Danio rerio: one gene and its partners. The protein of the gene in region 1 interacts with the protein of each later gene in a biochemical or structural test. Links are inferred from orthologs where the notes say so. Each region holds a gene or a part of one and is shown in the gene's direction. Other genes may lie near its edges.

Region 1 (10,691 bases):
AATGCACAGATAGACACTGTATATTATTACTAAATAATAAATACATTTTAAATAATTTAAATATTTTTGAGTGTGTAACATTTTACTGTTTTTGATCAAGAAAGCCTTATACATGAGCTTTATGTGATATATTACATACAGCAGGGAAAATAAGTATTGAATATGTCACCATTTTTCTCAGAAAACATATTTCTAAAGGTGCTGTTGAGTTGAAATTGAAATTTACCCCAGATGTTGTAACAACCAAATAAATCAATAATTGCAAAGAAAACAAATCTAATTTGTTTACAAATTAAGTTATGTGTAATAAATGAAATGACACAGGAAAAAAGTATTGAACACATAAAGAAAGGGAGGTATAGAAAGGTAGTGAAAGCCCTGACAGCAGCAGAAAACTCTCAGAAGTTATTCAGCAACCCTCTGCCCTTCTTCATTGTAAATGAATATTAGCTGCTTCAGTCCAATGAATACATTATCAGTATGATGAAGATGATCCACCATGATGGACATTTCAGCAAGACAATGATCCAAAACAGAGCCAAGGAAACTCAAATAGTTTTAGAGAAAGATAATCAAGCTGTAGAATGGCCCAGCCAATCACCTGAACTGAATCCGATATAATATACAAAATAAACATCAGATTTGATAGACGAGACCCACAGAACCATCAAGATTTTTACATCCTGTTGAACATTGTGAAAAACTCACACCTGAGCAATTCATGGGACTTTATTCTCCATATAAGAGGCATCTTTAAGCTGCCATCACCAAAAAAAGCCTTTTGTATAAAGTATTACATACGGTTCAGTAGTTCAGAACTTTCTCCTTGTGTCATTTCATTGTTGTCACACATAACTCATTTTTCAGGTTTTTGTTGTATTTTTATGTTTGTATTATTGAGGTTTTTACCAAAATCTGTTTCAATTCCATGTCAACAGCTCCTTTAGATATATATTATTCTCAGGAAACATCAAGTCTTTAATGCTTATTTTCCCCGCTGCATTGATATAAACAACTAGTGGAAAAAAATAGAGACAACTTGAAAATTCTCAGTTTATCAGGATTTTTAGGGTTTCTGTAAAAAAAATATTTGTTTTATTTTATAAAGTTCTGCTAACATTTCTTTTAAACTTACATACAAATATTGTAATTTCTAGCATTTTTTTACATATCAATGACAATATGCATTGAAAAGCTACACATAATAAATGAATATGAAGTGATTGCACAAGAGCGTCCTACCTTCACTTCATCAAACACCCATGTGTCGAGTCTGGAAGCATCAGTGGAGGCGAAGTCCTCTCGCTCTGGAGGGTAAGTGTGAGTGTAGACATGGTCTCCAGTGGCACCTACAAAACACACATGCTGATAAGACCACCAGATAAAAACAACATGCTTCCCCAGACCAACTCGTAGGTGTGTGGTTATACCTTTAGCAAACATTGGCAATATATCAGGGCTTCCCCAACACCAGGTATATCTGCTCTCATTAAAGACAGAATCAAACTCCACTGGATTCTCCTTCCAGCCTGGAAACACAGGCGCACATGATTGATTTTACACACATAGAAAGCTAGATACAAACACAGATATGACTGCTTACCCTTGGCAACAGCACTAACGTCCTCATAAAAGCCTGCTATTAGAGCGACATGTCCTGGGCGTGATTCAGTAGGGACCCGTGTGTGTGAAACTCCCCATGTGCCGCCCTCTTCAATCACACTCCTTATGACAGGAAACAGCATGAAGGAAAAAAAAAGCACAAATAAATAAAACAATATACCTGTATACACCAAGGGCCTTATTATACACCCGGCGCAATTAGGCGCAAGATGTGTTTGCCGTGGTTTGTTCCAATTTTCAGACCAGTGCAAACCTAATTTTCATGTTTTTGGGCCATGTTGTTTAAATAGCAAATCCATTTTTGCCACTTTGTGGACTCATGAGTGTTCAGCTCTATAAGGGGGGTGCATTAAGGAGCTTTGTTGGAGCGCTGCTATTTTGAGGAACTGAAATATTCTGCGCCACTAACCAAGTCCAGCGCATATGCCATTCCAAAAACACGTACACATTACTTAATACACACAGGATGTGCAGCAATACACAAATATGAAAAAATTTAAGGATTAAAATATTACAAAAATTAATATTTTCTTTATAAATATAACAACCACTACCTCCATGCCCTCTTCACCTTGGGGGGCTTTTTGTATAATTTGCATTTGTATGATGTTAAATTATTAATACTAATATTTATTATACACAAATTTATATTTGTTTTAACAAAGGTTTAGATTTGTCCACCTGTCAGGTTATGGAGACGTATGCAACACCATATGGGGCATAAGAATAGTATGTGTGTTTGGATATAGCTCAGATTTTTGACTACACTTTGTTATTATTGTTAATTTATTCCTTTGCGGGAAATTAGAACTGAATTTAGAAATAGTTCTGAAACAAATCTCTGTGCTTAACAAACGAAATTAAATATGTAGTTTGTGCAACACCGTTTCCTTGTCCACGAAAGTAAATGAGTAAGGTTAAGAGTAAAGTAAAATAAAGAGAAAGTAAAGAGGTCGAATGGAGGTGGCTCATTCTTTATCCTTGAACAGATGGTCTGTTTAACTGTTTTCTCGCTAGTAAAGCATTCAGTTTTTCCACTTACAAAGTTCATCATGTAAATGATGTAAAACGCACCCTGGCATGACGCAACTGACTCTTAAAGGAAATGGGAGATCAGACTTTCAAACAGAGATTGTTTAAATGCACGTTATGCTCAAAACACACCCAGAACTCATTAAGAGAATAAGCACAACCCTGTTAGACCAAACTGTACTGATCTGTCCTTAAAATAGCAAAAGTGGATTCAGTCACGCCCTTAATGCTTTTGTGCCATGCGCTTTAGACTTTGCCCCTAAATTGTTAAAATAGAGGCCCTAATGTATGACAGGCATAAACTGGTGGGAAGGGGAGCTCATTAGTGGTCCTTAAGATGACGTTAAAGTAAAAAGAAATATGGTAAAATTAATAGTAATACTTTACAATAAGGTACATTAGTTCATGCATTTACTAACATGAACAAATAATAACAACACATACAGTATTAAATGCAGCTTTGTTAACTCTAATTAATGGCAATAAAGTTATGTAATCTTAGTTCACATTAACTCACTGTATTAAACAATGTTAACAAGCATGAATTAGGATTTTAATAACGCATTAGTAAATGCTGAACTATGATTAATAAATGCTGTACAAGTATTGTTCATTATTATTAGTTCATGTTAGTAAATACATAAACATTTAACTAATGAAACATTATTGTAAAGTGTGATCAGAAAAACTTTATCCAACAGAATAATGAATAAATAAATACATGCATAAAATGTAATTAGTAAATTAAGTTGTACTATATGCATTTTATTTAGTGTAAACTAAATTAAGTAGTTTTACCTATAAAATACATATCTATTTTGTTTGTTTTTACACAATATACTGTATGAGGATGTGTTTTTGTAAAAATGTAACTTCTACTATGCTATTAAATAGATTTAACACTTAGATACATATAACTCTGAATGAATGAATGAATGAATGAATGAATGAATGAATGAATGAATGAATGAATGAATGAATGAATGAATGAATGGAATATTAAATGCAATGCTTAGGTGAATTTTTTTTTTTTTTATGAAATCATGAAGGATGGTGAATATTTTTAACATTAAGCATGACTAATAGATATTATTTAGACATTAATGACTAACATAAACAATTCTGAACTCTCTGGAGCACATGGGTAAACAGGACAAAGATTATCCAGTGTTCGTCACCTTAGGTAAGGAGCCCTGGATGTCCCACTGTCGTCTGGCTTAAAGAGGCTGTCGGCCCTCAAACCATCTGCCACAAACAGCACCAGGCGCTTGGCCGGAGGGGGCAGAGAGACCCGCTGAGGAGTCATTCCATGGACAAGAGGAGATGTGAAATAAATGTCAAATATGCAGAGAAAGAAGACTACATGCACAATGAGTCCCACAACGAAGAATGTCACCATCTTCATCTTGTCTCCAGTCAGACCTTTGACACTGATTTACAAAAAGAAGATACACAAATGAATTTATGAAAACATTCTGTTATTAGTCTAATAGATTTTTATTATGAATTAGTTTTACATTAGCAGGACAGTAGGTTCAAATAAGTTATATTGTACAACATTTTTTTAAAAGTAACGTTAGGGGTTTATTTAAGATTGTACTTACCTTTCTGCTAATTTGAGATTGAAACAGATTCATAAAGCTGATTAGTTGAAGGTGGACAGAAGACATATAAAGGTATCATGTAACGTTAATCTGTCAATGAAAGCACCGGGCAGAGCAGGAGTGCGCGGGAACGAAACGCCCTGAAGCAAAACCCGCGCATGGGCTTTTAATCTGTTTTAAGGTGCTTTTGTATCTTTGAGTTCTGACCTGCTAAACCAAATAGTTTGTAAGAAGATTAACTGAGAACTTTTCTGCACTTCCTTGTAGCAGTAACCTTTGAACTGTGTCTGCGCAGTGCATTTTGGGAAATGTAGTTTTTAACGCCACGTTAATATTTTCATAAAAACAAAAGAGGTGCTTTAAAATGCCAGCGAGTTTATGACTGTTTACAACTTTATTTGATTCAACTGAAATTTCTCCCTTTTTACAATAAAAAATTGCACAAAAAAAATAAAAAAATAAAAATTTAGAATAAAATATATAAAAAGAAACGTAAATTTTAAATGCTTTAAACAATAAATTAGTTTAAAATAAACAATCAAACATTATATTGAGATATAAAATAAAAAATAAACAATTTAATAATTGTAAAAAATAATGAAATAACTGACACAAATATGAGTACATAACATATTATAAATTATCCAACATGCAATTTTTAAAAATATTAAAACAATTGACAAATAAAGACAAATAAATACAAGTTTAATTAAAGAGGATAATTATTTTTTAAGAAAGTAAATGTGTTAATAATTAATATATTCAGAAATACAATATCATAATTCTATAATATAATACAAATAGAAATAGACCAAATATGACCTCTATTATTTGCAAATAATTAGGTAGATCAATTTTTAACACTATTTTGTCACATTACGAAGTGGGTCATTAAACAGAAATGACATAGATCGAACCATATCTTAGATAAACAACTAAACAAAAACGAATATATCAAGAAACAGTGGCGGTGCCATAGACTGTAAAACAGTAGCGGTCGGTTTGCGTTCAGGACTCTTATTTTGGCATCAATTTTATTCCTTAGTAACCCGTACGGTCGCTCGCTTCGCTTCACTCAGGTTGTAGAGTTGTTCAGAAAAGGAGTACTGCAAGAGCTTTGTTAATTATTGCTAAATGATCTATTTAAATAGTTAGATAAACTACACAATTTTAACATTATCTAGCTCTTCATATTTTATTAATTGCGAGTGTTATTAATCATACTTCGTTATAGTCGAACAGAAGATATAAGCCGACTGTAGTATTAGCTATGGCTGGCAGTAGCATAGCGATGAAAACATGGGAGCTGTCAAACAGCATGCAGGAAGTTCAGAGTATCGACGAAATATATAAATATGACAAAAAACAACAACAAGAAATTCTGGCGGCCAAACCGTGGACTAAAGAGTAAGTAAACAAAACCAAAATGATGTCTCCTAGAGGCCCGGCTTGTTTTCGAATTATTAATACCACTGTTGTGTAACCTACACTGTTTTAATTGTTTACAGTCATCATTATTTTAAATACTGCAAGCTATCGGCGTTGGCACTGCTGAAGATGGTGATGCACGCTAGATCTGGAGGAAACCTGGAGGTGATGGGACTTATGCTGGGGAAGGTGGATGGAGAGACCATGATCATCATGGACAGTTTTGCTTTACCAGTGGAAGGCACTGAAACCAGAGTCAACGCTCAGGCTGCAGCCTATGAATACATGGCTGCTTATATAGAGAATGCTAAACAGGTACACTGACTTATAATTACTCTAAAATTCATATTAGATGAATAGTGATAAATATAAGCACAGTTTGTTTATAAACATGATCATATCCACTGCTTTATATGTGGAGCATGTATGCTGATCTTTAAGATTTTCTAATCAAGAGCAATATCATCACAAATATTTTATTAATTGTTATTTATAATTATTCTGCATTACGTTTTTAGGATTGATCCAATGTTATGTGAGAAGCTACATGTTGTGGTTACCTTTTTAAAACGTGTATATAAAAATTACAATTTAAAGAGTAAAGAAAGTTATTGGTTTGTATTCTGTTTTCATGTTTAGGATTAATAGAGAGAATATATGAAGTAGTTGGACATCTAAATATGTATCGCATCACAGAACCATTTAAATCTAATAAACTCGAATGTGATTTAAAAAAAAATCTAAAATAAAAAGTGAACAGTTACCAGAACTAAAATAAACATGAATTGTATTCCTATACTCCTCTAAAAATCATCCTAGATCTTTTATAATTATTATTTATTTAGTCTTTACTTTCTAATATTAATTGAGAGACGGAACAGAATTCTTGTCACAGGACTTGAAACAAAAAGAAATTGAATGCTATTAAATTAAAAAGGTCTATTTGGAAAGAATGTATAGTTTTCGATACGTTGACATTCTAATGTAAGGGAGTGGGTCCACATAAAATATAATAAACCAATACAGTAGAGAACAAATAGAAAATAAAAGGCAAATAAAATATACAGTGCTTTATGATTTTCTAGAAGTCTAGCAATATTCAGATTTACAAATTTAATAATCCAGTGTGAAACCATTCTAACCATAAAGTTAGAAATGTAATTTCTTTTGCTAGAGTAAATGGTGAAAACGCACAGAAATAGTGAAGGTTTTGGTAACTTTATGGTTGAACGTTGCAATGACTGCACACATCATGAGTGTTTTCAAATGTGGTTCCTGGTCAATTATAATAACGGTTCGACATTGCAGATCCTGCGATGTGACTATTGCAGATGCGCACATTGCGGTATCAATTTTAAAACAGTATATTATGCAGCCCTATTATATAAATATAATTTTTTTTTTTTTTTTATTCAGTTTTCATACTTTACTATTGAGGGACTGCATGCAGTAAGGACACAGATGTGTTTATCACATCAAAGTAATTAATAAATACTACAAAAAATTTAAATACTTAACAGATGCAATACAGGAACAGAAATGAACAAGCAAATTAATTTTTTACTCTAACAATATTTTAAAGATTTTTTATTATTATAATTATCATTAATATTATTATTATTCAGATTGAAAGGTCTAATATTAATTGAGATATATTTGCCATTAAATATGATTTTAAAAATAAAATAAAAAATAAAATTTGACAAGCGACAGGAACTCAAAAATGCACTTTATAAATGTATAAACACATTATGCATCAATTCGCAATAACCAGCATATGAAAGAATTGATATGGAAGTTCAATAATTCTGAGGTTAATTGTCTATATATTTATTTAGGTGGGGCGGTTGGAGAATGCCATTGGATGGTACCACAGTCATCCAGGATACGGCTGCTGGCTTTCAGGCATAGATGTCAGCACTCAGATGCTTAACCAGCAGTTTCAAGAGCCCTTTGTCGCAGTAGTGGTAAGCGCTGTTGGAAATGTTAAACTTGTTGCATATTTTGCTGATTTCCCTCTTTAAAGCGGGTTACCATCCATCTCAAAAGACACAAGGGGAAAACAGCTCCGCTATGAAATAGTTAAAAGTATCGGTTTAAATTCAGCTTTATCAGTGATCCATAATTGACCCTCAAGACACAAATGAGTTGATGACATTTGTACTGCTGTCTGATTAATGACTGTTGCCTTTGTAACAGAATACATTATACAGTTTATCCTTCATTGCTTATGTAGTGCCGAGGGCAAATAGCAAGCTGGCGTTCATAACTTTCACTCGCAAAACTGGCAGCTTACTGTTTTTATTTGTTATATTTGACTGAACTCTTTTGCTAATTTCAGTCCTTGTAATTTTTCATCCTCAGATCGATCCCACAAGGACTATATCCGCAGGGAAGGTCAATCTTGGAGCTTTCAGGACATATCCGAAGGTAGCAACTATTTTTAGGCAACTGTATCTAATTTATATGCGTTTTATAAGATGTTGAATCACATTCAAATGTTTAAAAATAGGGTTACAAGCCTCCAGATGAGGGTCCTTCTGAATACCAGACGATACCTCTTAACAAAATTGAGGATTTTGGAGTGCATTGCAAACAGTAAGTGTGCATGACATATTGAATATATTTCCTTTTTTTTAGCCTTTTTATGCACTTGTTATATTTTGAAAATATATTGACTTGCAGTTAACGATAAGCTGTTGTTTGTTTTTAGGTATTATGCATTAGAAGTGTCTTATTTTAAGTCTTCCCTGGACCGCAAACTCCTAGAGCTGCTGTGGAATAAGTATTGGGTCAACACTTTGAGCTCCTCAAGCCTACTGACAGTAAGCACACACTTTTATTGGTGTAAAATTAATATATATTACATTTAGATATGTGCCAACATCATCTGTCATGTTGGATTACTTAATATAAACGGCATAAATTTAAGTCTAGCCTTTTTTTTTTTTTGCTTGGAATTTGTTCTTAAATCAAAAAATGGCCTGAACCACTGTAAATTGTTACAAAAATATAAATACAAAAAATCCAAAATCTGAATTTCTGACCAGTTTCTAAAAACATCTACAGTAAATGTGATGAAGGGTGACAATATAGCTTTTATGAAGCAGGCATGCATGTATTCATTTCTATTATATAAGAGATTGCAAATACAATGAAAAATTGAGGAGCATAGAAAATCACTTTCAACCTTTTCCCTGTAAATTGTTTAAATTAAAGGGCTTCAGTTCTGAAAGCTACATTATGTTAATTTTAGTTTAAACATTATTATCTTTTCTGCTTGGCACAGAAAGGAAATTTGTCTTTTACACTGGTAACATAAATAAACCGTACAACAATAACATAATAGCAACACTCTTCAAGACAACCATATTAGCCCCATACATATTACTCCAGATTATTCTTAACAACCGCACCGTTCACATTAAACAGTGGTAAGGTTTAATACAACTGCAATAGGGATAAATGACTTCTTATAAGTATTTCTTCATGTTCCATGCATTTTAAGCTTGGTCCCGATGGTAACATTTCAAAAGCTGAGTGAAGGGGATCTGTATTATCTTTAAAAATCACAATTGCTGTTTTTCCCATAAAGGAGTCAAATAAAATCTGTAACGAATGTTGTATGTAAACTGTTTTTGCAATTAAACTGTCAGTTACATTTAGTCATTTAGCAGACACTTTCATCCAAAGCGACTTACAAATGAGGACAAGGAAGCAATTTACACAACTATAAGAGCAACAATGAATAAGTGCTGTAGGCAAGTTTCAGGTGTGTAAAGACAGTGTAAGAAGCAAAACATTAGTACAAGAAGCAAAACATTAGTACAATAATCTCTGCAAAATAAAGTTTTTACAAAGAAGAGAAAAGAATGATTTCAAAATCTGTTGTCCCCAAAAAAGCATTTCCAATGAGAAATTAACCCTCAAATTTTTGCCAAAATAAAGCAAAGTAAAAACAGCATAAATATAATTTTTTTCTCATTTTATAGTTCTATTATTAAGGCTGCATGATGTTGGACTAAAACTCATATTGCAATATTTAGTTTGTCTGCAATGTATATTGCGATAGTAACATACAGTGCTCAGCATATATATGTACACCCTTCACAAATCTGTCTTTTAAATTTTTAATAGGAAGCTTTACAATAATATATGTGTGCATAAACATTAGACTAGTCTGTACTGAAGTCAAATCTGGAGCTTGTCTAACAAAATAACTTACGATAACGGTCCAAAAACTAGTACAGTCAAATTCATATGTTATAAAAAATATTAAATACAAATTTTAAAACAGAAAAAAAAATTAAGTGAAACAAAAAAAAACTGAAAATTTTTGTTGAAATTTTGTAGGTAATAAATATAAATATTTTTTGCATTAATTTGCTTAAATTTAATTGTATTATCTTACAATTTGTAAACATGTTTGGTGACTAAAATATTCTTTTAATAAATATATCTGTTTTATAAATCTGTTTTGTTTAAATGCACCAAAATACATTGCCTATATTTACTGAGAAATGGATACAAATATTCAAAATGGGGTGTATTCAATTATGCTGAGCACTGTAAGTTCACAAGATGGCGTATAACTCCATTTGGAATGAATTCATGTTTTTACATTTTGTACAGTTTTACATTTTGTATTGAACAAATATAAATTCATGTGATGGTTTTCTGCGGAATCTAATAGTATTAAGGTATAGAAATTTTATAATAACAGATAAAATAACAATGTATAGTGTACAGTCTTCATAGTACAAGTAGTTAAATACAATTCATTTTGGTTTATATACCTTTATAACCTTTTGGTTTAGGTTTGCTTAAATCATACACAGTCACAGGTCTTAAAAATTCATCTAAATGAAAATATTACACTCTATTTTAGGGTGAAACTTTGCAATGACTCCACAAATCCCATGTTCAGAACTGTGATGCTGATCAACTACAAACTTGACATTGCATATCCTGCGATATGAATATTGCTGATTCACACATTGCAAA
Region 2 (10,666 bases), on another chromosome or scaffold:
ACAAAAAAAAGTACTATAATGTCATATCAATAATATGTGTTTGCTGTTTTCATGTGAAGTCTGCTGTTGTGATGCTTATTGTAACACAATTTGAGCTGCATAACTTGTTAGAAATGTGCTACACTACAAATATAAATTTTCCTTAAACTTAGTCCCTTTATTTATGAGGGATCACCACAGCGGAATGAACCGCCAACGTATCCAGCATATATTTTACATAGTAGATACCCCTGCAGCCCCAACCCATCACTGGGAAACACCCATACACACTCATTCACACCCATACACTACGGCCAATTTAGTTTATGCAATTCCCCTATAGTGCAATTCCCCTATAGCGCATGTGTTTGGACTGTGGGGGAAACCGGAGCACCCGGAGGAAACCCACACCAATACGGGGAGAACATGCAAACTCCATACAGAAATGCTAACCGACCCAGCTAGGACTCGAACCAGCGACCTTCTTGCTGTGAGGCGACATGCAGTGCTAACCACTGAGCCACCATGCCACCCACTAAAAATATATTTATTATAATAACGTAGTTTCAGGAGCTGATGAAAATAAATGTAATTAATTAATAAGCGTAACACTATATACGTAGCATATGTATGTATGTGTTAGCCATCTTGTTAATTTAATCGTAACGTATAACATATGTATATATATATTCGTTCATTTTCTTTTCAGCTTAGTCCCTTTATTAATCAGTGGTCGCCACAGCGGAATAAACTGCCAACTAATCCAGCATACGTTTTACGCAGCGGATGCCCTTCCAGCTGCAAGCCTTTACTGGGAAACACCCACGCACTCTCTTTCACACACATACACTAGCTAGAACATGCAAACTCCACACAAAAATGCCAACTCAGCTGGGGCTTGAACCAGCAACCTTCTTGCTGTGATATATATATATACATATATATATATATATATATATATATATATATATATATATATATATATATATATATATATATATATATATATATAAAATCTATCTATACATATATATATATATATCGTCAGCTTGGAATTATAAGGTTCTCTCTGCGTTCTGAATGATTTTGAGATATTGAGCTTAACAGTTTTTGCAATCTATAGCAAACAGTATGTGTGTAACATTTGCTTTTTAAATAAAAACTTTTACATCCCAAACATCCCATAATGTAAATAAGTTGTCATTTAATAAGCATGTCAATAACTCAATTTTTGACAAAAATTTATATATATACAGTATATATATATATATATATATATATATATATATATATATATATATATATATATATATATATATATATATATATAATTTATTTATTTATTTATTATTTTTGCAGTTGATTTGCAAATGATCTTTCATTAATATTTAGTTTCAGTTTCTGTCTTCATTAAACACTTAATCATTTATAATTTATATATTTTTAGCATTAAACTAAAATGCTATTACTATTATGTTCTCCTTTATTATTGTTTAGTTTCTGCAGTCTATTTGTCTGCACTTGCTGTATACAACTTTACCATGCATCATATTACAAGTGGAATTCATTTGTAATCTTTTTACATTTTATGATGCTGCTTTGCTTGTTTTGCTTGTTAATTATTATTTATTTTTAATGGGGCGGCACAGTGGCTCAGTGGTTAGCACTGTTGCATGTTCTCCCCGTGTTGGTGTGGGTTTCTTCCGGGTGCTCCAGTTTCTCCCACAGTCCAAACACATGCGCTACAGGGGAATTGATTAAACTAAATTGGCCGTAGTGTATGAGTGTGTGTGTGTGTGTGTGTGTGTGATTGAGTGTGTATGGATGTTTCCCAGTACTGGGTTGCAGCTGGAAGGGCATCCGCTGCCTAAAACATATGCTGGATAAGTTGGTGGTTCATTCCTCTGTGGCCACCCCTGATGAATAAAGAGACTAAGCTGAAGGAAAATTAATTAATTAATATATTATTAGTATTATTAATCAAATAGAAGTTTTGTCAGTGAAAGGGATAGTTCACCATAAAATTAAAAACCCTGTCATCATTTACAAACCAGTTTCTTTCTTCTGTTAAACACAAAATAAGATATTTTAAAAATTCTCAAATCCTGTAACCATTGAGTTTCATAGTATTTGTGTTTCTCTACTATAGAAGTCAATGGTTTCAGTTTTTTTTCTCAAATAATTTCTTTTAAGTAAGGTTTTGACTGAACTGTGCATGTAATAAAATAATAATCAAATCAAATGTAAATAGAAATTATATATTATAAAATTATTAGAAGTATAAAAAAACTATAAAAAATAATAAAGTTTATTCATAATTATTTACAGACAATAAATAACCGTTAATAAAACTTAATACTTAATTAATAAATAAAAAAACTGCAATTTTAGCCATTTATTTGTTTGTTATAGATGTTTACTGACGTTTATTTATGGTTATCTATGTCAAAGATGACAGTTTCCACATCTCGTGCTGCCCTGAGTGTACAGTCTGGGATACAGCTTCAGATACTCGCGTAAATATAGCATTTCATGAGTGTGAATGAGTGTGTATGGGTGTTTCCCAGTACTGGGTTGCAGCTGGACGGGCATCAGCTGTGTAAAACATGCTGGATACGTTGGTGGGTTTCTTTCTTCTGTTAAACACAAAATAACATCGCTGAACTCCTGTTTAACCATTGTGTTTCATAGTATTTTTTCTCTACTATCGAAGTCAATGGTTTAAATTTTCTCTTCTAAATAACTTATTTTAAGTAAGGTTTAGGCTGAACTGCGCCTTTAATAAAATAATAATCAAATCAAATGTAAATACAATTAAAAGAAATTATAAAAATATTAGAACTAAAAGAAACAATTAATAAAATAACACAGTTCATTCATAATTTTTTACAGTTAATAAATAAAAAAAAGTAATTTTTGTCATTTATTTAATTGTTTTAGTTGTTTACTGGCGTTTATTTATGGTTATTTATGTCAAAGAGGACATAGTGCTGCCCTGAGGGTACAGTCTTGGATACAGCTGCAGATACTCACATTAATACAGCATATCATGAGTGTGTATGGGTGTTTCCCAGTACTGGGTTGCAGCTGGAAGGGCATCCGCTGTGTGAAACATATGCTGGATAAGTTTGCGGTTCATTCCACTGTGGCCACCCCTGATGAAAAAAGGGACAAAGCCGAAGGAAAAGGGTAGATGTTGAAAAAGTAATAATGGGTAATTTAATAATAAACAATATGAAAAATACTCGATATAGCCTAACTGATTTTACATTACTGTGATGGTTGGGTTTATGGTTAAGGTATAGACGTTAGTAAAATACAATTAATGGGTAATTTAATAAATAATATAAATAAATAATCCTCTTTAACTTGCGTTCGCAGCTGTATCTCCTCTAGCAGCAACCGCTGCTGAGGCTGCATCAAATCTGCATCCTTATTTGGGTCACGCGGGGTTTTACGGTAGTCTACAAGAAGCACACTAGCTTCGCGTTATAATACCCGCCTCCTTCAACCTAGAGCCTCACATCTGGAGTCATTCCTGCAGGAGTTTGATCCTTCTGACTTGCACTTTTTTTGTAAAGTAGTTTTGTTCATCTCTGTCGCAGTCATGCCGATGTTTGTAGTGAACACAAATGTTGCTAAAGACTCGGTTCCGGCGGAGCTGCTGTCGGAGGCCACGCAGGAGCTCGCCAAAGCCATGGGCAAACCCCAGCAGGTTAGTTACCTACTTTATTTTACTTATTGCCGTATTTTATCGTATGACTTTGCATATTAGTTTAGATGGGATAGAAAACTGTAAGCACTGTTACGAGTTTCAAAACATACACGCTAGCGCAAGTTATCCTCTTAGCTGCAGCTTGAGGTCGACTCGGATTTTCGTTCTTAATTAAATTTAATCTTAAATTAAATATAGACAGATTATGCGTAATAATTAGTCTTGATTTAAGATGCTCAAGTGATTAGAAGGCAAACTAATTTCCGTGAATCAGTTCGATTAACCGAAAGAACCAGTTCAAAAAACGATTCATTGATTCTTTTACGTCATGACGCATTTGCGTTATCTCATTACACAGCACCACGTGCTTGTGTATTTCACTGATTTACTAGAACGTCATGTTGAACTTACTAATTATTCATTCATTTTCATTCAACTTAGTCCCCTTATTCATCAGCCACAGTGGAATGAACCACTTCCACCACCACACCATATCCAGCTTATGTTTTACACAGCGAATCCCCTTCCAGCTGCAACCCAGTACTGGGAAAGACCTATACACACTAATTCACACACACACATGCATTACGGCCAATTAAAATTTTTCAATTTACCTTTGGCACATGTGTTTTACTGTGGAGGAAACCGGAGCACCCAGAGGAAACCCATGCAAACACGGGGAGAACATGCAAACTCCTCACACAAATGCCAACTGGCCCAGTCGGTACTCGAACCAGCGACCTTCTTGCTGTGATGCCACAGTGCTAACTACTGAGCCACTGTGCTGCCTAACATCTAAAATTGTGTTATTTTAATTGCACTGTATTATAAAGTACTGAGCTGTAGTGTTTCTCTGTGTTTGTCTGTGTGACAGTACATCGCCGTACAGGTTGTGCCGGATCAGATGATGATGTTCGGGGGAAAAGGAGACCCGTGTGCGCTCTGCTCGCTCACCAGCATCGGGAAGATCAGCGGCGCGCAGAATAAACAATACTCCAAACTCCTCATGGGTTTACTCAACAAACACCTCGGCGTTTCTGCTGACAGGTACATTCACACTGATGGCCATTTTATTATGCACACATTTTAGCGTACAGTTGTGCGTACAGTTGCAGAATTATTAGCATTATTATAATTATTATTATTTTTTTTATAAAAAAATGTCCCCAATTTCTGTTTAATGGAGAGATTTTTTTTTTACAACACATTTCTAAACAAAACAGTTTTAATATCTCATTTCTTATAGCTTATTTATTTTATCTTTGCCATGATGACAGTAAGATACTAGTATTCAGCTTAAAGTGACATTTAGGGCCCTATCATACACCCGGCGCAGTGTGGCGCAAGGCGTGGCGCATTAGTCTTTTGGTAGTTTCAGCTTGGCGCAAGAGTCGTTTTGAGGCGTTGCGCTACGCTGTTTAAATAGCAAATGCATTAGCGCTCATTTGTGCGCTCATAGGCGTTCTGGTCTAAAAAGGAGGCGTTCTGAGTCGGACCGCTGGCGCGTTGCTATTTTGAGAATCTATAATAGATTTTTCATTAGACTAAAACTAACCCGGTCTAAACTCCGGCGCAGAGTTGCGCCTCGCTTACACACTGCTTAATAGCCTACACACAAGAGAGCAATAGGCAAATATTTTTACATGTGAAAAAATGTAAATATTAAGGATATATATAGGATATAATAATAATAGATATAGGATATAAATATAAAGGATTAAAATATTACAAAACATATTATTTTCTAGCCTACATAAATATGAAAAATCACTGCTTTTATGCCTTCTTCATCTCCGGAGGCTTTTTCAGTTCATTCATAACAATTTGCTTCTGTATAATGTTATTATTATTACCAGTATTATTTATTATATCCATATTTATATTTGTTTTATTATATGGGGCACAGCATGTGTTTTAGGATATAACTCAGGTTTTTGAGCACATTTTGCTATTATTGTTCATTTATTCGTTTGCTGGAAATTAGAACTGAATTTAGAAACAGTTTTGAAACAAATCTTTGCGCTTAACAAACAAAATTATTTATTTATAGACTAATTGATGTCTGTGCGTAAAGGTTTCCCTATTCAAGAGCGAATGTGAAAGTAGATCCATTATCTCTCATTCTCACGCAGTAGATGCTCTGTTTAACAGTTTTCTGTTAATAAACTGTTAACTGTGAACTGTTTGCTTGTGAAATGATCATTTTTTCCACTTAGACTTACTTTGCGTCCTGTAAATAGCGAATGCGCTCTTGGCGCGACGCAGCTGGCTCTTAAAGGGAATGGGAGATGAGACTCTGATTGGTTTATTCTCAAAACACACCTATAACTCATTAAGAAAATAAACTCAACCCTTTTAGACCATGCGCCGCGGGGCAGGGCAGATTTCCCGTCCTTAAATTAGCAAAAACGCGTCCTGACATGCCCTGAAAGCATTTGCGCCCTGCGTTTTGCGCTCTGCGCATGGACCGTCAAAATAGAGCCCTTAAAGACTTAACTGGGTTAATCAGGCAGGTTAGAGTAATTAGGCAAGTCATTGTATAACAGTGGTTTGTTCTGTAGACTATTAAATAAAATATTGCTTAAGGGAGCTAATAATATTGACCTTTAAAATGCTTTTAAAAAAAGTGCTTTTATTCTAGCTGAAATAAAACAAATAAGACTTTCTCCAGAAGAAATTTTATATCAAAAAGATATTGTAGGAAATACTGTGAAAAATTCCTGAATCCCCAGGAAACCCCTTTTCAGCAGGGTATTTTCACACCTCTAGTTTGGAAAAAGTCAGGAAAGGGGGTGTGTCCAGCTCTGTTTAGGTTGGAGTGTCGAGGGAGGGAAAGAGGGAAGATTTTGCATAAAAATGGGAGTTTCCATTTGGGCATGCGCTGATTTTCTCAGAGGCAAAACAACACATAGAAGCAGGGGAGAAAGACAGCGACTGTGTTTACATGGACATCAGTAATCAAATTATTATATTATTATAGGATGAATCTTTTGAAAAAATTCTGAGGTGGACTTGAACTGAAAGTTGGGAGTATCATGGCCCTTTAAACATGATTTGGGGAATATTTAAAAAAAAAAAAAGCAAAATTCACAGGTTGGCGAATCATTCTGACTTCAACATACAGCATATGTACATACAGCATACATACAGCATATTAAATGAAGTTACAGCCCTTATGAAAAAAATACTACACTAATTCTTAAAAGTCTGAACACATCTTGCATATCTTGGTGTACTCTGCAGGTAAGTGAGCTTGACAAACCCCCTGCAAAAAAAATGAAATTAAAATACAAGTTTTGACGTTTATATTTAGTAGCTCAGACTTATTATTATAGTGTATAAGGCCCAATCCTAATTCTATTTTTGTACCTTTACCCCCTTCCCCTCTGCCCATGAAAGTGTAAAGGGGAAGGGGAAGATCTGTCTGTCTGTCCATCCACACATCTGTCCACCTATCTATCTATCTATCTATCTATCTATCTATCTATCTATCTATCTATCTATCTATCTATCTATCTATCTATCTATCTATCTATCTATCTATCTATCTATCTATCTATCTATCTATCTATCTATCTATCTATCTATCTATCTACCTAATCACCCATCCACCCATCCACCCATCCATCTATCTATCTATCTATCTATCTATCTATCTATCTATCTATCTATCTATCTATCTATCTATCTATCTATCTATCTATCTATCTATCTATCTATCTATCTAATCACCCATCCACCCATCCACCCATCCACCCATCCATCTATCTATCTATCTATCTATCTATCTATCTATCTATCTATCTATCTAATCACCCATCCACCCATCTATCTATCTATCTATCTATCTATCTATCTATCTATCTATCTATCTATCTATCTATCTATCTATCTATCTATCTATCTATCTATCTAATCACCCATCCACCCATCTATCTATCTATCTATCTATCTATCTATCTATCTATCTATCTATCTATCTATCTATCTATCTATCTATCTATCTATCTATCTATCTATCTATCTACCTAATCACCCATCCACCCATCCACCCATCTATCTATCTATCTATCTATCTATCTATCTATCTATCTATCTATCTATCTATCTATCTATCTATCTATCTATCTATCTATCTATCTATCTATCTACCTAATCACCCATCCACCCATCTATCTATCTATCTATCTATCTATCTATCTATCTATCTATCTATCTATCTATCTATCTATCTATCTATCTATCTATCTATCTATCTATCTATCTATCTAATCACCCATCTATCTATCTATCTATCTATCTATCTATCTATCTATCTATCTATCTATCTATCTATCTATCTATCTATCTATCTATCTACTCATCTATCTATCTATCTATCTATCTATCTATCTATCTATCTATCTATCTATCTATCTATCTATCTATCTATCTATCTATCTACTCACCTATCTATCTATCTATCTATCTATCTATCTATCTATCTATCTATCTATCTATCTATCTATCTATCTATCTATCTAATCACCCATCCACCCATCTATCTATCTATCTATCTATCTATCTATCTATCTATCTATCTATCTATCTATCTCTGTCGGTCCGTCCCTTCGTCTATCTATTCATCTATTTACAGTTTATTTTTTTCTGTCCATCCATCCATCCATCCATCCATCGGTCTACCTATCTATCCATCCATCCATCCATCCATTCACAGTTTCTATCTGTTCGTCCGCCTGTCTATCTATCCATCTATCTACAGTTTATTTCTATCTATCTGTCTGTATCTGTCTGTGTCTGTCTATGTATCAATCGCTTTACTACCAACAAAAATTTATTTTAAGTCAATATATTTCAAAATGTACCCCTAAGTAATGGGACAGCACTAAAACACCTGCACATGTCATTATATGGCGGTTCATACTGCTGTGGAGACCCCTGATAAATAAGGAACTAAGGCAAAGGAAAATCAATGAATTTATTTGCTATTGGTTGTTTTGCATGTAGCAGATGTGTGTTTAATAAAACTGTCTTGTGTTTTTCTTGTTTTAGGATCTATATAAACTTTGTTGACATGGATCCAGCCAATGTGGCCTGGAACAACAGCACCTTTGGATAAATATGATGGATGTATGGCCTGATATAAGGCTGCGCTTTGTCATTCCAGCTGTTGAGAGTTTAATGCCATCAGTCGATTGAGTCTTAACACACAGCACTTACGGCAGACAGCATCTTGCTTTGACAATAAAGTTTCCTTTAAACTGTAAATGAGATGTGTTGTTTATTTTTATTATGCAAATATTCTGGGATTAAATAGATTTGATATTGTCTAAATAAAATCTAAATAATGAGTATTAACACATTCCTTCTTTTTGTTTTCGGCTTAGTCTCTTTATTAATCTGGGGTCGCCACAGCGGAATGAACCACCAACTTATGCACCATATGTTTTACACAGCGGATGCCCTTCCAGCTGCAACCCATCACTGGGAAACATCCATACATAGTCATTCACACACACACACTGTAGTGACACAAATGACCATTTTGTCACTTGAGGTGTTGTAGGGTTGTTTCTGACGCGTGAGAGCTCAACAAACGAATCATCCTCCAAATACTGCTTATCAGATTTATTTTTTGCACAGACAGTTCTTATGGTTCAATTTCCACTCACAGTCTGATATATAAATGCTCATAAAATCACATTGAATGCCTCAATAAAGCTCTTTCAAACACGGTCAAAAAATGTTGTGCTTCCCTCTAATTACACACCTGTTGTTCTAAGTCTTTGTCTACCTATATACTCCTCCAAACCCCCACTCCACCCAGTGGTCAAAAACAGCATTACAAAACATAATGGCTCTTACACCCCGGCCCCTAATTGTACATGGCAGGTAGACATAACAATTCAACAATGTACATACAAAGAGCCATTAAAGCAACACTATAAACATTGCATTAATCAATTCTGTGTAGGTGTCAAATTTAACAGTCTTTACCATCAGTCCATTATATTTCCATGTTGTCATACAACAGACAAAGTTTTGTCACGGGTCTCTCAAGTACACTGGTTTTAGTTTGTACTCGCACAGAACGAACAAGTCCATTTTTATCTGGAAAAACCTCCAGAATTCGCCCCAATAACCAAGACCCTCGAGGGGCAGACGAGTCCACAATGACAACAATGTCACCAGGAACAAAGTTTCTCCTTTCCTTATTCCATTTCTGCCGATCTTGAAGCAAAGGCAAATATTCATTTGTCCATCTTTTCCAGAATAAGTCACACATATACTGGACCTGTTTCCATCTCCTCTTGCTGTATAATTCAGATTTTTCAAATAATCCAGGTGGTAATACTGGTTTACCTTTCATCTGAAGAAGATGGTTTGGAGTAAGTGGCTCCAAATCATTCGGGTCATCTGACAACTTAGTTATTGGGCGATCATTTAGAATGGCCTCAATTTCACATAGTACAGTATGGAATCCTTCATCATCCAAAATCTGCTGATGTAGGATGGAATTCAAAATTCTTTTGACCATTCTGATTACACGTTCCCAGATTCCACCATAATGCGAACCTCCTGGAGGATTGAAACTCCACTGGACACCTTTCTGGAGCATTGCCCTTTGAATCTTGTTTTGATTCCATGATCTCAGTGATTCCTTTAATTCCTTTTCTGCGGCAACAAAGTTGGTACCATTATCTGATCTTATTTGAGTTACTTGCCCTCGTCTGCAGATAAATCTTCGAAGAGTGTTAATACATGAATCAGTGTCCAATGAGTAGGCGACTTCCAGATGAACTGCTCGACTTGCCATGCAAGTAAAGATGACTCCGTAACGTTTTACAATGGAGCGTCCTCTTTTAACTTCCACAGGACCAAAATAATCCACCCCAACATTCGAAAATGGAGGCAAATCGGGAAGGAGTCGTTCCTTTGGCAAGTCTGCCATCTTCTGCTCACCCACCTTAA
Region 3 (10,207 bases), on another chromosome or scaffold:
ACATAAACTACCCCCCACTTATTAAAAAGATTAAGGAAGATTTGGAACATTGGAATTTGCTCCCCATTTCACTGCTTGGAAGAATTAATGTAATAAAAATGAATATATTACCAAGAATTAATTTTTTATTTCAATCCTTGCCCTGTTACTTAAATAAAGATTTTTTCAAAAATGTTAACAAACTGATAAGCTCTTTTATCTGGAAGAACTCTACACCCAGAATATCTTTTAAAACACTAACTAACACAAAAGAGAAAGGAGGGTTAGGCCTTCCTGACTTACAGTTATACTATTGGTCTGCGCAGATAAAGGGGATGATTGGTTGGATACAACCATCAAGAACTGCTCACTGGACAGATATTGAAGAAGCTCTTTGCTCACCTATACCTCTGACATCTCTTCCTTTCATTAACAATATGGGAAAATTACCCCCAGTGACAAGAACCTATGTTATCCACAACATTCTTCGGGCCTGGCAAGATGCAAAAAGGTTTTGTGGTTTCTCTGCTAAAATATCTATGCTAGCCCCTCTGTCCCCTAACCCAGATTTGCCACCCTCGCTTGGGAAATCTTTGTTTATAAAGTGGAAAGAACATGGTATATGTCAGTTCCGAGATCTGTTTATCAATGATACTCTTAAATCCTTCATAGACTTAAGGCAAGAGTTCAAGATACCAAGACAGGATTTTTATAAATATCTGCAAATTCGCCATTTGATAATTAGTCACGAAAAGAGAGGTCAACTATCCCTAAAGCTGTCCAATATAGAGGAGATTTTGGTGAACTCTGAATCTTTAAAAGGAAAAATCTCGGAGATATATTCTGCACTATTAGAATATTACAACTCTTCACTGGGATCACTTAAAAACGTGTGGCAAAGAGATTTGGGATATAATTTTAATGACGATCAGTGGGAGGCTATATGCCAGAATACTTTCATTCCCCTTTCCAATAACAGAATAATTGAACAAAATTATAAATTTATACATAGGATGTATCTGACCCCACTGCGTTTGAGCAAAATGTACCCTAATGTATCACCCAGGTGTCACAGATGTAAAACCTATTTAGGATCAATCATGCATGTTTTTTGGGAATGCAAAAAGCTAAAATTTTTCTGGAAAGCAGTACAGGACTTTACAGCCAAAGCTTTGCAAGTTCCATTGGACAACACACCAACACTATACCTCTTTGGTACAGAACTGAACAAGACACTTGATCCTATTTCTATAAAGAGACTCGGCATCATCTCCTATCTAGCAAAAAAATGCATTTTGCTCAACTGGAACCAACAAAAACCTCCAACATTTGAACTCTTTATAAAACTCTTGAATGAAACAATGCCCTTGGAACAATATACATACTACTTAAAAAACAAAGGGGATGCCTTTCAAAAAATATGGATGCCTCTAATGATTCTCTGACTCTATGAACACATCTGATGTATTTTCACAATATGTGTGACCTTAATCACTGCATAACTTTGTGTATTATGTTTTATTTTTATTTTTTTTGGTATTTTGTTGGTATGTTTATTTATTTCTTTATTATTATTATTTTGAAATAATTTATTTATAGATTTTTTTTTTTTCTCTTTGCCTTTTGCTGCTATATTTGTCTACTGATATATTTGTCTTTGGCCTTTTTTGTTTACGTTTGTATGTTCATTAAAACCAATAAAAAAAAAAAAAAAAAAAAAAAAAAAAGTGTCGTTCAGTCGATGATGTTTGGAGTAAAGATTAACTTCTAAATTAAAATAAACGAAAATACAGCACAATTCACTGGTTTATATAAACTCAAAGCTCTCCCGCGTGCATGTTCAGGAACATTCACTGACTGTGTCCACAAAAGAAAAGGAAAACCGGCTTTCTCTCTAGAAGTTGGGGAGCGCCCTCTACAGGAACCCATTGGTGACTACACTGTTTGGTAAACCCATTTCTATGGGGGTTACATTTATATTCACCGTTTTATTTAGGGAAACTCTTCAGATAAATAAGTGATATCTCTGAACTTTAATAATAAATCGAAACAAAATGCTGCGCTTCCCACCTCCAGTCGCAATGATTTTCGGGAATTCTAGAGTGCACAAGAACACGGGGACACAAGACCGCTGATGAACGCATATTCAGAAACAGCCCATCTCTCAATCATTAGCATAGGATGTTAGTCTTGTTTTTGAATCTGCCACTATGCTGACACACAGGCATTTGTAGCTCCGCCCACTTTTGAAAAAAAAGTACAATGTAAAGTAAAATGTAAATGTCGATTTGAATGTAAATCGACAGTCAACAAAACAACACAATTAGGATCAAAGCCTAAAAGGGTCAGTTTCAGAGAGTTAGAAAACATTATTTCTGTGGTATATTGAGCTGAACTTTACACACACACACACACACACTCTAGAGACATTTTTTACATCATGTAAACAAGCATTTTTCAGGTAATCCAACAATTGTAAATATTAGTCAAAGATTACACAAGTAAACACAATAAAGGTTTTAATATTAAGGGAAAACAAAACACATTGTATATCGTTTTTAAAGTTATTTCAAGAGTTCGCCCTTAGCTGATGATTGATTATGGAGCGTGTTTGGCATGCTGTCCTGGGAGAGAGCCCTGAGCTCGTGATATCCTCGAGCCCGTGGCACCCTCTCCACCTATCCCCAACCCCCCACCCCCTATTGCAGGGTGTCTTTGCTGTCAATTTAGATTTGTCAATTTACTTATGTTACATGATTTTGGTCTCCGTGCTGCCCTGACAAGGAAATAGGAGGAGTAGGGGTGGAAGGGGGGATTCTTTAAGATGAAGATGGCTGAAGTAAGATACTTTGGTTATTTATAGGGGTTAAGGAGTCGTCTGATGGGCAAATCAGTGTTAGCTAATGTGAACCAGGTGCTATCAATCATAAGCGCGTGCTCCTCTCGAAATTAGTTTATAAATAAACTTCACTGAATGATTTAAGTAATTTAAATACAGTTTTAATTTTGTAATTAGTAGCGCTGTTAAAATTAACGCGTTAACGCATGCGATTAATTTTAAATAATTAACGCGTTAAAAAAAATTAACGCAATTAACGCATGCAGGTTTTTTTTCCTTCCTTTCAAGAGTTCACACTTAGCTTATAATCAATAAAGCGTATTTGGCATGCTGTCCCGGGAGAGAGCCCTGAGCTCGTAATATCCTCGAGCCCGGGGCTCCCTCCCGTTAGAAGGGCGAGAGGGGAATTTGAGGTCAGGTAGGTCTCGAGAACTCCCCTGCTTGTCACCGTGGGAAGTGTAAACTAAGGTTGTATTGGGTGATAATTTGTTTTAGTCGATTGGCTATGGTTTATGTTTTTGGACGGTGGGAGGAAACCGGGGATCCCGGGGAAAACCCACGCGAACACGGGGAGAACATGCAAACTCCACACAGAAACACCAACCAGCCCGATGGGTTGGACTAGCGGTGTTCTTGCTGTGAGGTAACAGTGCTAGCCACTGGGCAAACGTGTCGCCCGATCAGAAAAAGTGGGAGGATTTAGGGGTGGAAAGGGGGGGGAGATTCAAGACGAAGATAACTGGAGTGAAAAACTCAGGTTATTTATAATGCTTCTGTAATCATCTAATAGGGTTGATTACGGAGCTAACAAGGAGCCAGCCGTGTTAATTATAAGCACGTGATCCTCTCGAAATTAGTTTATGAATAAACCACACGTTGTGGTGGACGTGTGTTCAACATGTAATAAATGTGGATAAGACCAAGGAAGCACTTTTTGAAGGCAAGTTCAGTATAAAACAATTAGTTGCATCACAGGTTATCCAGAGTTTCATGCAATTTCGGGTGTTTCATTTTTAACTTTCGACATCTGTTGTAAGTTGATACCGCATGGCGAACAGAAAGAAAATCCTCCGCATTTCGTGACTCGGTGTTCCTTTACGGTAAGGTTCCTTTTAAGGCTACACGGTAGAATTTTAAGAGTATTATCTTAATCATATTAAAATCGGAGTATTGGTGTCTTATGTAAATGTACTCAGTACGTCTGGTGAAGTCGCGAGCTGTCAAAGACAGGGCATTACTCTGCCTTTCAGCATGAGCCCTCCAAGCTTAGCTCATGCTTCATTAAAAAAAGTTTCATTAAACGCAACGAAAGCGTATGCTTCGCGTTGTTGTGTCAGAATCCTTGTGAAATACAGTAATACTTTAGGGCGCTTAGTTTAAGCGAATTTGATGAACGTGATCATGCGTGTTGAATCTGAGGGGAGTCGCTCCAGTATGGAAGGCCGTTGGGGCCAAAACGTCTGCAGCGCGTTGTGTGTGTGTCTGAGTGTGTGTGTCTGTGTCAGGCATGTTGAGGGGTGTCAGGGGTGGAGTGAGCGACGTATCTGAGTAGGGGCGAGAGGGGTGTGCAATGTATTTAACGACCGGTTTGCAAGAAATTATCATTCATTTGCGGGCATTTGGGAGTCTCTGTGCACTTGCAGGATACTCCTAGTCTTAGCAACTGGATGAATGTAAAGGAGGATTAAGCAAAATTGTTTCTACTCTATAATTAATGTTCTCAACTCACAGCAATAAAACTTTACAATGAGTGCAACAGTTTGTATTCAATAGTTTATTATTATAATTTTTCATTTTCCTCATCTGCAATTCCTGTATTTTGGCATTTTTTTGCAGTCCACTAAGAATCCAACATGGAAATCAATGTTTTCTTTATTGGCATTGATTGTTTTGAAATTTAAATGTCATTAACATGACTGTGTTTTAATTTCTGTAATAAATATGGCTGTCAAGCCAGGATCTTGATTGTTTATTGTGGGTTTGTTGTTTGCATGAAGAAATCTGTGTTGCAAGTTAAACAAAAATTCTATTAAACAATTATATTTTGAATTTAAATAGTTTTTGTCTTGTGTTTAAATTAATTTTACATTTAAATAGCCAAAATTACAAGTTTCAGTATTTTAAATGCGATTAATTTTTTTAAAAAGGTGCGATTAATTAGTTAATTTTTTTAATCGATTGACAGCACTAGTAATTAGTCATTAGTAGGCCCACACGGAATCTGCGCAGCCATTGCAATTCAGCAGATTTTCCGCATATTTTTAGCCCATCATTAATTCTGTTTATTTACTTTTGTAAATGTGTGTAAATCTATATTTATTCAGTTTTTAAATTACAGGAACTAATGTGAAAATGTTCATCTGATTTATGTACAATGCAGTTTGTAAAGTCTTTTGGTAGATATATTATATGTATTATATGAGAGACTTGCCACCAAGTAAAGTGGATCTAATTGGATTTGCATTTTAAACTTTAAATAAAAGTTAAAAAGATATTATTTGTTATTTGACGTATTAATATTTTAGTTATGATAATCCCAAAATAATTCCGCAGAAATCTGCAGATTTTTAACAAAATACTGCGCAGAAATATCAAATAGCGTCCACAGATTCCGTCTGGCACTAGTCATTTGTAATTAATTACTTTTTGGAGCACTGCTCCTACACAATGTGTGTGTTTGTGCGAGACTCACCTTGTGTGTGTGTTTCAGAGTAAAGTTCGCAGTCCAGTGAGTGGCAGTCCAGACGGAGGGCGAACTCCACCGGCCCCTACACCCCAGCTGATGTCCCACAGACCCTCACATCCCAGCAGCCCCCCATCAGACGGCCCACACACGTGAGTCCAGAGACACTGACTGTGTTTCCATACACATATCAGAGCTCAACGCTAACAATTTTTTCTGCTGGCACGATCAGGGCAGTTGTTCAGATTTTTACTTGCCCTGCCAAAATTTTCACTGGCCCCACCAAAAAAAAGAGAAGTTAATAGCTATTTCTTTAGCCACATATTATAAATAATGTGTCAAAAGCCAAACATAACTTCAACATAACTTTTCTTTAAATACAACTAACAATTTAAAAAAATACAATTGAGATGTAAATTAAAAAAAAATAATAATAATTATATATATGAGCAATATCACACGAGTAGCAGTGCAATATGGCTGTATATCAGCACTGGTGGGAGGCATGCGTTGGCACGAGGCTGCAGGCCAAGTGTCTTAGTGTCCCACCAGTGCTGATTTACAGCCACATCGCACTGCTACTTGTGTAATATTGCGTTTATACAACAGTTCGACGGCACAATCGTATTTTAAAAAAAAAAGAAAATCAAACACGGAGAGTCTAAAAACTCTTTTGTATTAGGAACTACTTTCTTCCGCCATTCATTCACATCAACAGCTGACGTCAGAACGGCAGAAGCCGTTACTAATTCACCAACTTAACAATAGAGCTAGTGTTTGAATGACTCTCTATAGCGTAATGTCTAAAGTGAAGACAAAGCAGCTGATTTTGCTCACATTTTAAGATTATAAGGCTGAAAGTGACATGAAATGCCATCCGTCTACAGAGATTTCTTCTCACAGTGTTACTGTCTACAGTATTTCTCTGTTGCAATTGGGATATCACAATAATTAACCATGAAAAAAAGCAACGCAATCACTACCAGACTGCTGTTGTGTTTGCGATAAGGAGGGGGTGTTCAGGGAGGTCTCTGAATAACACTGTTAAGGACCAGGATAGGAAAGTAACTGTATTAAAATAGGCACTGTACTTATAAATAAACTGCATACAATGTACAAATATAATACATAATATATAATATAATATATAATACAAATATATATATATTTTTTTTAAATTTACATCTCAATTGTAATTTTTTAAATTGTTAGTTGTATTTAAAGAAAAGTTATGTTGAAGTTATGTTTGGCTTTTGACACATTATTTATAATATGTGGCTAAAGAAATAGCTATTAACTTCTCTTTTTTTTGGTGGGGCCAGAGAAAATTTTGGCAGGGCAAGTAAAAATCTGAACAACTGATAGATGGGGACGCACTGTCTCTCAGAAATTAGAAGTATTTAAAATAGGCACTATCCTTATAAATAAACTGCATAGTTGCAATCTAAACAACTACATTCTCCACTAAAACAAAAACTCAAAGTTCATGATGTTGCCCAACAGCTGCAATATTTGCCAAACTGTAGTGAGTTTATTGATCGACTGTCACTCTATGTGGGCGGAGTAATACACAAAGGTGAAGAGGCTGTACGAGTGCTGTTATTGCAGAATATCACACTGCTATCAGCCAATCAGATTCGAGAACCAGACAGAACTGTTGTGTAAATATTTAAGTGAAAATGTGCACTTTAATTTTGATAGCCACGGACATCGTCACCAAATATAAATCAGAGAGGTCAGACTTTCTCATACATGGCCTTATTTCAGTTGTCAAGTTTGTAAAAATCTATCAATTGAATTAATTCATCTATTAAAAAAACCTGAAAAAAAATTCTGCATTATAGGCTTTCATTATAGAGAGAAATAACAGATGAACAGAGACTGCAGTCAGATCATGAAGCGGATCAATGTTGATCTTTCTGTCGAGGTGTCAGTGCAGAAATGCACAAAACAACAGGCCTAACACGAAATATAATGAGATTAAAATATGGAAAAATGATCAGATGATAAATTCTTTACATTTTCCTAACAGATAAAGAGCTCTTGTTAATATTTCAGCATGCTTTCACTTTTATATTTGACATGAAACACACATTTCCTGTAGGAATGACATCTCGCGCTGCTCATCATTCTCTCTTCATACAGCCGTATATATGGCTATTACACAATCATAAGACACTGGTGTAAAGTCTGGATCATTAGTTCGTTGGATCATTTTGCTTTTGATTCACTCCGAGTTCGTTTCAATCACCTCATTCAGGCGATCTCAGACCAATTGTTTCGATGTGGATCTGAGCGCAATTGCGGGAACCCCTCTAGCTGGGCAAACAAGGTGTGAAAGCGCCCTATTTGCACGCAATTGACAAACATTCACAGCCATAAAGTTTAGTGACAAGGCAGCACTGACCTGATCCGGCCAGTAACCATTCTGCCTACCTTTCCGAGCATCTCAGACGCTGGCTCTGGGCCATTATTGTCGAGCCCTGCATATTTTAATGCACATTTTGGAATACTGCATGAAATTGCTTGATCGAAACCCCAAGATATGCACATACATTACATACACGCAAACCCTTTAATTGGATACGACAAAATGCTCATAAACTAAGATGGACACACATTTAGTGAATAAACTCCAGCATGCGCATCAGTAACGCCCTGATTTAGTTTGAACAGATGATAGAAATGTGTGTTTCAGAGACTTTGCATTAATGGAGTTTGCAGCTTCACATTGTTGCAGATCTGAAATGTTGTTTTGCTGAGTGTAAAATGCTTCAGCCGTCAGTCCGTCATCATAGAGCTTCAGTATTACTATTGTTCTGTTATTATTCCCTCCAGAACTGTCTTGAGCATCTGCCTTTGCTCCCACAGAGCATCTCACGCCTCCAGAAGCCACCGCATTCACCGCGTTTATATCGTCTTTGTTTCTAAGACACAACTCATTTATTAGAGAAGAAAAACACCACGGTGGCTTCTCTACCGCACTAAACTATGTTTCCCTGTCTGATATTTGCTCCAGTTTATCAGGAAGTGATGATTTTATTCTCTTTGACTCATTGGATGGAAACGCTGCTTTATTCACTAATGTTTTATGAGATATTACAGATTTGAGCACAAGTTTGCATTGAAACATGACTTCTAACAAACACACTGCATTGATTCGCATGTTTCCGTCATGTGTTTCTCTCTCTCATTTGTGTGTGTGTGTGTGTGTGTGTGTGTGTTCAGCGAGGAGTCTCTGCATGTGATTGAGGAAAGCAGGATATTTGAGAACCGCCTGCAGAGTTTAGTGCAAGACACCATTCAGGAGACGGAGAGCAGCATGCAGGTGAGCAGCGAACTCACAAACACAACTACTGCACTTCATTACAAAGAGATGCTACTGGATGTTAAAGTAATAAACTGAATGTTTATTAGTGTCATTTATAAGAAATGTTGCACATCCTAAGTAATTATGATATACACTCACCGGCCACTTTATTAGGTACACTTTACTATTACCGGGTCTGACCGCCTTTTGCCTTCAGAACTGCCTTAATCCTTTGTGGAATAGATTCAACAAGCTACTGGAAATATTCCTCAGAGATTTTGCTCCATATTGACATGATAGCATCATGATCGCAGTTGCTGCAGATTTGTCGGCTGCACATCCATGATGCCAATCTCCCGTTCCACCACATCCCAAAGCTGCTCTATTGGATTGAGCTCTGGTGACTGTGGAGGCCATTTGTGTACATTGAACTCATTGTCATGTTCAAGAAACCAGTCTGAGATGATTCACGCTTCTGATATGGTGCATGATCATGCTGAAAGTAGCCATCAGAAGATGGAGACACTGTGCTCATAAAGGGATGGACATGGTCAGCAACAATACTCAGGTAGGCTGTGGTGTTGACATGATGCTTGATTGGTACTAATGGACCCAAAGTGTGTCAAGAAAATATCCCCCACACCATTACACCACCACCAGCCTGAACAGTTGATACAAGGCAGGATGGATCCATGCTTTCATGCTGTTGATGCCAAATTCTGACCCGACCATCTGAATGTGTCAGCAGAAATGGAGACTCATCAGAGCAGGCAGCGTTTCTCCAATCTTCTATTGTCCAGTTTTGGTGAGCCTGTGTGAATTGTAGCCTCAGTTTCCTGTTCTTAGCTGACAGGAGCGGCACCCGGTGTGCTCTTCTGCTGCTGTAGCCCATCTGCCTCAAGGTTGGACGTGTTGTGTGTTCAGAGATGCTCTTCTGCAGATCTCGGTTGTAACGACTGATTATTTGAGTTACTGTTGCCTTTCTATCAGCTGGAACTAGTCTGGCCATTCTCCTCTGCCCTCTGGCATCAACAAGGCATTTGCGCCCACAGAACTGCCGCTCACTGAATATTTTCTCAGTAAACCCTAGAAATGGTTGTGCGTGAAAATCCCAGTATATCAGCAGTTTCTGAAATACTCAGACCAGCCCATCTAGCACCAACAACCAACCTTTCTTCCTCATTCTGATGGTCAGTTTGATCTGCAGCAGATCGTCTTGACCATGTCTACATGACTAAATGCATTGAGCTGCTGCCCTGTGATTGGCTGATTAAAAATTTGCGGTGTACCTTATATTGTGGCCTGTGAGTTTATATTTTATGGATTGTGTAATAATTGTAATGATTAGTTTGAATGATAGTTAATATAATATAATTTTAATGGTTAATTTTAAAAA

Evidence for each region.
Region 2: the proteins of cops5 (region 1) and mif form a complex in vitro, tested with the Homo sapiens proteins (2 studies listed by BioGRID). The link is inferred for Danio rerio from reciprocal best matches to the Homo sapiens genes COPS5 and MIF.
Region 3: of the proteins of cops5 (region 1) and ikbkb, one has a biochemical effect on the other in vitro, tested with the Homo sapiens proteins (2 studies listed by BioGRID). The link is inferred for Danio rerio from reciprocal best matches to the Homo sapiens genes COPS5 and IKBKB.

Annotation. Positions count from the first base shown.
Region 1 is NC_133199.1:27,632,134-27,642,824, forward strand, and holds the start of cops5 (COP9 signalosome complex subunit 5), read left to right. Parts: upstream 1-5,349; 5' UTR 5,350-5,529; coding exon 5,530-5,666; intron 5,667-5,767; coding exon 5,768-6,002; intron 6,003-7,525; coding exon 7,526-7,654; intron 7,655-8,051; coding exon 8,052-8,117; intron 8,118-8,199; coding exon 8,200-8,285; intron 8,286-8,400; coding exon 8,401-8,512; intron 8,513-10,691. Other genes in the region: pign (GPI ethanolamine phosphate transferase 1), read right to left, coding at 1,243-1,349, 1,431-1,529, 1,604-1,725, 3,834-4,060. UniProt on the Homo sapiens protein: Probable protease subunit of the COP9 signalosome complex (CSN), a complex involved in various cellular and developmental processes.
Region 2 is NC_133189.1:53,747,292-53,757,957, forward strand, and holds mif (macrophage migration inhibitory factor), read left to right. Parts: upstream 1-3,473; 5' UTR 3,474-3,586; coding exon 3,587-3,694; intron 3,695-4,568; coding exon 4,569-4,741; intron 4,742-8,746; coding exon 8,747-8,813; 3' UTR 8,814-8,962; downstream 8,963-10,666.
Region 3 is NC_133183.1:3,625,365-3,635,571, forward strand, and holds part of ikbkb (inhibitor of nuclear factor kappa-B kinase subunit beta), read left to right. Parts: intron 1-5,528; coding exon 5,529-5,653; intron 5,654-8,729; coding exon 8,730-8,829; intron 8,830-10,207.